Linked DNA regions of Caenorhabditis elegans. Each later gene encodes a partner of the first gene's protein in a complex. Each region holds a gene or a part of one and is shown on either strand. Other genes may lie near its edges. The genes, in order: cap-2 and cap-1.

What was found.
Region 2: cap-2 (region 1) and cap-1 share a complex: the UniProt entries of both Caenorhabditis elegans proteins name them as parts of the F-actin capping complex.

What each region holds. Positions count from the first base shown.
Region 1 is NC_003280.10:10,867,178-10,871,376, reverse strand, and holds cap-2 (F-actin-capping protein subunit beta), read right to left. Parts: upstream 2,182-4,199; 5' UTR 2,147-2,181; coding exon 2,144-2,146; intron 2,096-2,143; coding exon 1,978-2,095; intron 1,929-1,977; coding exon 1,835-1,928; intron 1,787-1,834; coding exon 1,673-1,786; intron 1,621-1,672; coding exon 1,470-1,620; intron 1,418-1,469; coding exon 1,313-1,417; intron 1,268-1,312; coding exon 1,142-1,267; intron 1,064-1,141; coding exon 962-1,063; 3' UTR 550-961; downstream 1-549. Other genes in the region: cyn-4 (Peptidyl-prolyl cis-trans isomerase 4), read left to right, coding at 1-293, 343-548; gmps-1 (putative GMP synthase [glutamine-hydrolyzing]), read left to right, coding at 2,986-3,039. UniProt on the Caenorhabditis elegans protein: F-actin-capping proteins bind in a Ca(2+)-independent manner to the fast growing ends of actin filaments (barbed end) thereby blocking the exchange of subunits at these ends.
Region 2 is NC_003282.8:7,227,787-7,232,229, forward strand, and holds cap-1 (F-actin-capping protein subunit alpha), read right to left. Parts: upstream 2,438-4,443; 5' UTR 2,437-2,437; coding exon 2,356-2,436; intron 2,244-2,355; coding exon 2,118-2,243; intron 2,064-2,117; coding exon 1,623-2,063; intron 1,459-1,622; coding exon 1,294-1,458; intron 953-1,293; coding exon 917-952; 3' UTR 636-916; downstream 1-635. Other genes in the region: D2024.5 (Mid2 domain-containing protein), read right to left, coding at 1-18, 68-193, 238-352, 397-520; D2024.4 (DUF19 domain-containing protein), read left to right, coding at 3,462-3,567, 3,626-3,821, 4,121-4,294, 4,342-4,443. UniProt on the Caenorhabditis elegans protein: F-actin-capping proteins bind in a Ca(2+)-independent manner to the fast growing ends of actin filaments (barbed end) thereby blocking the exchange of subunits at these ends.

The DNA.
Region 1 (4,199 bases):
CTCCCATGATGCTCGAGGTGTGCTCTCGATGGCTAATAAGGGCTCTAACACCAACGGATCACAATTCTTCATTACATTCCGGCCGTGCAAGTATTTGGACAGAAAGCACACAATTTTTGGGAGACTTGTTGGAGGACAGGATACACTAACGACGATTGAAAAGTTGGAAACTGAAGAGGGAACTGATGTTCCGATGGTTTCAGTTGTTATTATGAGAGCTGAAGTATTTGTGGATCCATTTGAAGAAGCTGAGAAAGAAGTTCAAGCTGAGAGAGCAGAGATTTTGAAGAAAAGTTTCTTAATTCTATTACTAATTTTAAAACTAATGATATCTATTTTCAGCTTCTAAGGACGCAGCTTCATTAGCAAATAAAAAAGCTAAAGAAACTGCAACAAAACCAGAAGCAGTTGGAACTGGAGTCGGCAAGTACATGAAGTCGGCCGCAGCTGTGAATAAACGACAAGGAAAAATGGAAGATGTACCCTTGGAGGCCGCAAAGAAAACTAAATTTGCAAGAGCAGGCCTTGGAGATTTCTCAAAGTGGTGATGAAGACCCTCTCTTTTTTTTTAAATTTAAGGAATAAAATACTTTCATCGAAAATATAATTGAAATGAAAAGTAATCTTAAAGAGGATAATTTACATTGCAAAATACAAAACAGTCGAACGAGCACCTAGAACGAAAATGGTCCAGGAAAAGCTCAAGCTCTTCTCGGAAGGAACATCAAGGCATTTTGGTAATAAATTGTGGAAAAGCCATAGCACATACACTTTGGAGCGAGGAGAAATTGTGGGAAAAGAGATTTTAATAATTCTAGAAAAAAAGTTTACACTCGAGAAAAGGCAATGAAAAAAGGTTTTAAAAGAAGAAACAAGCTGGTATTATGGTAGATAAATATACAAAACTCGCAAATAAAGCATTAAAATGAGAGATTTTGAGCTGCAAATGTAGATAGATCACTCAGTTTCCGCGGTTAGCCATGGCGTTGTTCAACTCGCGAACGATCTCATCTTGCTTCTCGAGCTCACTCTGCTTCTCTGTTGAACGGAGATCCGACATCACCTGGAAAATATTTTTTTCGAAAATTGTACTTTTTAAAAATGAAACTTTTTTCATATAATAAATTTGCATTTTGCTTACCTTCTTCGTCTTTCCAAAGTATATCTCATTGATCGTCAGACGCATTTTCGACTCCTGATCCTCAATCATTCGTCCCATATTAGCCAAGTGTGTGTTCTGATCGTTGATTGGTGCATCCATCTCATGCTATAATATTTCTTTTTAAATATATTCACAACTCGAAACCAAAACCTGTCTTGTAAGGGAGCCACCGAGGTTCATCACACCGCTGGAGCTTTTGTTTGTCTGCAGCCACAGCATGATAGTGGAGGTGAGCTTGTAGTGAGCCTGGCGTGCCTGGAAAATTATAAATTAAAAAAAAAAACTCTTCAACAGTTTTTGAACCAACTCTTTCCGTGATCTCAATAACGTGAATAGAATCCCAACATCCTGTTATATTTTTGGCTCCGTCTCCCTCTTTCTTGATGAGCACAATTCCGGCGAAACCTCCATTATCCAAGTCCCAGAAGTAAACTGATGAGACGCCTCCCTCGAAGTATCTGGAAATTATTATTATTTATGAGCAAATATATGATTTTTCTGTCAACTTACAAATCACGGTATGACTCAAAAGCGGCATTTGCCTCGATTTCCATTTTTCTGCGCTTTTCCGATGGCAATTGTCCATCCTCGAGTGGTGGATCATAGGTATTACTCCATGGTGATCTGAATTATCAGAAAAAATCGATAGATTTCAAATAAAATGACTCATACCTGTAGCTATCGCCATCTCGATTGTAGTCACAAAGCAAATACTGTTTGCCGGTCTCACGGTCCGCGGCGATTTTCAGCGGTTGATCGATAGTGCCTAAAACCATCAAGCGAATTTTTTTAAATTAGTTAAAAAGGAAACATACTGAGAAGATCATCAACAAGATGAGGGCACAGATCGATGAGGTCCGTCAAATTCTTGTCGCAGTGTTGTGGAGGAAGTCTTCGCATCAAGTCGAGGGCACAATCGAGCTGTTGTTCTCCCTGGTAAATATTTATTATAAATTGTTTTTAAAATATTTATTAAAATACCATTTTTGATAGTTTCGAGCCGGATGTGGGTGTGCTCCCTGAAACAATAAACTTTTATGTCAGATTTTAAGTCGTTACAACCTATTAAAAACATAAAAAGACTCTAAACGATTGGGTAATGATTTTTTAGTTCACAAATAAGATTAAATTTCGCAAAAATATATTTTAAAAGCCATTAGAAAGCAGGAAAGTTGCGAAACGGAGCGACCACTTCATTGATTTTACACTCCGTTTCTCTCACTCTCTCGTCCCTCCACCGTACCCATAGTCACTCTCGTCGGCAAATCGCGGCGAGACCCGCGAGCTTTTGGCGTTTCGCCAGAGTTCTTCAAATTTTTGTTTTTTTCTTCGAGCTTTTAAATTTAAGTTTTTTCCGTCAATTTTTATGTTAATAAACCGAAAAAATTAATTTTAAATTAATTGACATGAAATTTTCATCGCAAGTTTATCCGTGTTCTGTACATTCTCATCGCTTCATCTCCGAGAAAACACCGAATCCACTAAATTTTGTTATTTCAGTAATTGCAGCCAAAACGAGTCAAAATTGGAGCGCGTCAGAGTAAACGTCACTGCCGCAACCTTCCATCTGAAGTGAGTATTTAAATGTGAAAATTTTGAAAAACTGGGTGAAAATTCGCGCACATTTCTGTAAATTGGCTCCCGATTTGGTTTTCAACGTTAAAAAACGAAAAAAAGCATTTTCAACGTTTAAACGTGCGTTTTAAGGAGGTTTTCATTATAAATTGCCAAAAAATTCCACTTTCCATTGACTTCAAATCATTATAACCTAGCTTCAGCGTGCAAAAAGAACAAAGGCCGTCTCGAAAGTCAGTGAGCATACTATGAAAAGATCGAGTTCAATGTTGGACATCAACGAGGACAGTCAACATTCCACGGTCAGAACTTGTACTTTTCTTTTGATCTTGCCGCTTTGCTAATGGATTTCTTTTTTGAATTTTCGTTGAATTTAATTATTTTATCGCTGCAAAGGGCTTTTACAATTTTCCCTGAAATCGTCACTATAAAAGAAAAGAAATAATTGCAATTTTATTGCATTCTCCGCAACTACATTCTGTTTTTTCCGACTCCAAATAGTTCAAAGTTCTCTAGAATCACAATATCTTCCTCTGAAGACAAAAGATCAGTTGTCACTAAAGCCACATGCCGACTTTTCTGTTCAAGGGGGGTTCCACCATATGTTTCGGCGCTCAAATTACATGTTTTTTCGCGAAAAAAAGCTAATTTTCCTGTAACCTGAAGGGTTTTCTTTTTAAATAAATAAAAATGTTCACGTTAATCCAGTGATATATCGAAACTAGGTGACCTAATTGACGTGGAGTTCAGATTATACCGGCTTTTCTAGAACTTTCTATCTGATTTTCAGGATTACTGCGCCGTTTCTTGATAGTTTTCGTCTAAAAACCGAGTATATTTTAATATTTGTTGGCAGTTTTTGTCTTATTTATCACAATTTTCAGTGAGAATTCCTTGGTTTTTCTCATGGGATAAGCGTTTTTCACTGGAAAATATATTTTCTTGGTAGAAAATTCTCCTCGACGAAATCGTAGTTATATTCTCCCAGCCGAACACTAAAATGCTGGAAAACTAGGAAACTAGGGTCTAGTTGAAAAATTTTGCAATTTTTCCAAGTACAGCAGCACTTTTTTAAAATATTATCTTTAATATGATTTTCCACCATTTCTCTCTCTCTCTCTCCTGACTTTTATCTTTTTCGTCATTATTTCTTTTTCTCTGTTACAGCACTGGTTCTGCTCTCTCCTTTCCTCTTGTCGTCATTCAAAAGGTTCCCTTTGGTTTTGTTTCTCTCTTTTTTTTTCAATCTCTACGTCTCACCACTCTCTCGCTCTCTCTCACATTGTTTGATTTTGATTTCAGTTTCTGTGCTGAGAGAACTTTTCAACTATCTCTTCTTTGTTTTTTGCTGTCATCTTCTTCCTACTCTTGAAGCCGCCCGATGCTCGGTTTTGAGCCACTCAAAGCATTGAGGAATACTGTTTTTATGAAATTATCACCTTTTATTGCATATTTTGGTTGA
Region 2 (4,443 bases), on another chromosome or scaffold:
TTCAGTGAGCGATTGTTTCTTAAAGTTTCAAAATGTGAAATAATTAAAATAATAATTGCTTATATACCCTCCACGGCCCATGGGAAGATAAGTGGCTGAAGAATTTTGGCCCATTCCGCCACTAGAAGCCGAAGATGCGCTTTGTCTTGAAGCAGAAATTCTCCATCGTGCTGATCCGATTAATTCAGCTCTCCTAAAATTGAGAATAAATGTTTTATAAATCGAAAGGATACTCACTTTTTCTTATGGCTTATCACAATTTTCGCAATGAGAGCACATGCTACTCCAAAAACTACCAAGGAAATGAAGGCGATCGACGTTGCAGTTGTATGATCACTTGGAGGAAAAGATGCTGAAAAAATGTGTAATCTTAGAAATATGTTTCTGAAAGCTTACTAGTCAATGGAATTTCCGTCGTGGTAGTTGTAGTCGTGCTGGTTGATACCGTACTTGTCGATGATACCAAATCTGACAAGTTGCTCAATAAAGTCGCATTGAGAACCTCAGTGAGGTTTTGCATCTGAATTTTCTTCAATTAAACGAACACATATTAACTATTTAGCTAATTCGTTTAAATATATATCAAAAGGTGCGCGACCTTTCTAAAATCAGAAAATATCTCGAAAATTCTTAATCACACACACACAAATAATATATAATTGAAAAATGAATCATACCATACAATAAAATTAGATACATAGATGATACAAATTATCAAATCATGAAAAAAGAAGCAGCGGAGCAAACGAAGGGTATTATGTTGTAAAGCACGTCTAGTGTCCGGCCAAAGGATAAAGGAAAGTGGGAGAAATAAAGGTCGAAATTGGAGGATTTTTTGGTTTTTGGAGAGGATTAGGAAGATGATGAAGACCAGCAGACGAACTTGAAGCAAAGCGATGTGATAACGATTTTGTGATTACTTCATTTCCTGACCAATTCGGTAGGTTTGAGCCTGAATTAAAATTAATTTATTCTTTTTATTTTATCAATTCTGAAAATTTTGACATGCCTTTGTAGAGGCGCACAGATTTATTATGGTAGCCCTTGCTTAATCTTTTTCAAAGAAATTACTTCGCATTTAGAGAATTTTGTCGGCTTCATCTCTTGTTTCTGTTAAAATTCTTTTTAAATTAGTTTTCAAATCACAATTATTTTTTATTGTGTCTGCATGACAAGGGATATAAAACTGATTCGAAGCATTTGTTAACAGAAAAATAAGAAACACCGAGACCCATCTGAATAAATCTGTGCACTTTTCCGAAGGCATTCCGAAATATTGTGAAATTACGATACCTTATTCCAGTCCATCTTAGCGCGAGTAACTGGCAATTGGCGACGAAGTGCTTTGAATGTGGTATCAGACATATTAGCGTAATTCTCTTGTACAGCATTCTGATATATAGTCTCTTCCTCGGAAATGGCATGAATTATTTCTTTGGCGGTTTTGTCGAAGTCAGCCTGAAAATAGGGCTTTATATGCCAATTTTTAATTCGATTAAATAGCTCTATGAAAAATATAATTTAAATGATTCCTGTGATTTTATTTTGTTCTTCACAATTTTATGAAAAACTTTTTTTTCTATCCTTCTAAATTGGATCAATTTATGGAAAAAAAAATTTACCGAAACATTGACTTTAAGAACCGGCTCTTTCTCAGAGAACAACTGCACGTTTCCGTCTTCGTAATAATGAACTTGCGACAAAATTTTTCCTTTCATCTCCTGAGATCCTGATTTACCATCGCCAACCGGCACATTCCACTCCGAACGCCATCTTCCGTTACAGAAATTTTTTGGCTGGAATTGATGAGATTCGATGCAAATCGTGAAAACTCCGTTTCGAGCAAAAACCACTCCCGTTCCACTTTTCGCGTAATGATCATCAATATATATATCGAGTTGAGTTTGAAGAGCTTGACGCCATTGTTCGGTTATTCCAGACTCGGCTGGATGTGGTTGAAGATCTGCGGCCTCTTTACGGACGTGATCGTATTTGAAACTTTTCTTTGAAACTTCATCGTAGAAACGTCCATTACCCAAATCATTGTATGGAGTGATCAGAGTCTGAAGAAAATAATTAAATATTTGAAGAAAGTTTAAAAAATGAAAATAGTATACCTGCTTGGCAACACCATCCAACTTTACTGGCACAAATTGTCCAACGTTATATTGAGCGATAGCATTAACACATTTGTTCTTCAGAAGATCATCATTTTCCAAAAGCATCCGAACCGAATTGAATACCTGAATGGAAAGGTAAATTGACAATTGAAGTGAATTGCGAAATATAAATTTTTTGATGACTATAATATCAAGCTTGAACGAGCAATTCTCCTAAAAATCGACAAAAAATTACCTCGTTGAACTCGCCGGGTGGCGCGTGTTTAATGAAATCCGAAGCAATGCGGACCTTTTCGGCGTCACTGATCTCCGACATTCTGAACGAGAAAGAGTTATGCTTATAAACATTTTAAAAATATATTTCTATCAAATAACTAAAAAGAAATAAAGATTGACAAAATAAAAGTGGTGATTCATTGAATAAAAGAGTGAACAAAAATGAATCACAAACAGAGAAATGAGCGCATCGATTTTAGCCGTAGAGCGCGCTTGCGTTTTCGAGAGACACCACACGGAAAGTGGATAGAGATTACTTGAGATATTTAGTTTGAAATGTTTTTTATTCTTCAGCGAAAAAGAAAGCACACTAAAGCAGTTATAAAAAATGAGTAATAAATAGTCTATAAAATAAAAAGCATTTGAACCATGTTCAGAATTCAATTACATTATTTACACTTAAAATTTGTGAAAAATTCGCTGGAAGAGAGAATATGTACTAGATGTGAGAGCATTTCTAGAGAAGAAAATCTTTGAAATTTGAGAGCATGTCAATGAAAATTTGAAAGAAAATTATGTCGAAAAGCCAAGAATAACCTGTGCTACGAGAAATATTAATTATTTGCGTCTGAAATATAATTCGAGAAACACGAAATTTTGGAAGTGGTACGGTAGATTTCAGTCCAAGAAAAAAAACCGAAATTTGAACATTGCAATCTTTCAATCAATGCGACTTATATAGAAACGTTGTTCATAAAACAAACAATGCATTTTTTTCGGGAATTCCCTTCCTCTGCTTCTTAAACTGCAAAATCAAATTGATGAACCAGAAAACGCTAAGCTTCAAACTTGAAATAATAGTTCAGAATTGATCAATTAAATTGTTTAATCTGAATAAAAAACTTTGGATCTAAAAAATTCCGGTTAAATGTTTTAAAAACGTTGTTCATAATGCAAACAATTCCACTCTTTTTTCGGAAAGTGTTCGCTTCCTCTTCTTCTAATAATAGTCCGGCAACAACGGATTTGCTATATTCTAGTTGTTCGAATAACTAGGTCAAGATGATCACGATCAACTGAAAATGCTATAAAAGAAAATTGTTAGACAATTCAGAATATTCAAAGATGTTATTCAGATTCCTCATACTACTCCTAACTGTTTTAGCACTGGCAACATGCCGAAAAGTTCACATTCAAGTTAGAGAAAATGTCACACAAAGTTGTCCGAATGGTTTGTTCTTTTAAATAAAAATTAAATGGTTTTACAATTAATTTACAACCAAGTTTAGTGGATTCCGATGTTATTGACGAGAGCTCGTTGAAGATCACAATGAAAATGTTGAAGAATGATAATCCAGAGGAAGAAGATGAAGAAAAAGATGAAGTAACAATTACTGATATTAATGGAGAAACTCGCCAAATTGATTTCCCTGGATGCTATAGAGTTAAAGTCAGCTTTAAGATGCTGAGACCTATCGAGAATCCGTAAGTTAGAGCTGAAACTTAAGACTGGAGTTCATTCGTAAAATTGAATCCTGCAAATCTCTTAAAATCGTAATAGATTCCGTATTTTTCCCTATTAAACTTGCACCTCTTTACACCTCTTCGACGGGGGTTTCCCGGGTTTTTTGGTTTCATGAAAAGTGCGAACTGAACACACTTATAACATAGTTTTCTTTACTTTATTAGTGAAAACATTTTTTTTCGATAAACTAAACCGTCAAAGTAAAGCAATGCCGATAACAGTCTAATAGAAAAAAAAAATGGTACATTCTTTCTTCTAGATACATTGAAGCATTTATGCAACTTGGCCAAAACGTTCCCTGCAAATCAGAAGACGCGATTCAAAATCTTCGTGGAGTTGAGAGCATTTGTGCAAACGTAACTAGTCCATCTCAATGGTGTCCAGAGAGTTATAACTCCCAATTGAGAGAGATGCTCGGTGGTAAAACTACATGGTTGGTTTGCAATTTATATAAACTAACAATAGGAATTGGCTTTTCAGTAAATTCTGCTCTCTGTGCGAAAACGTTAAGGAAAACGTAAAAGAAAATGAGAGCAAATTGAACAAGCTTAAAAAATTTTTGAGCAACGAGGGGAAGGAGGA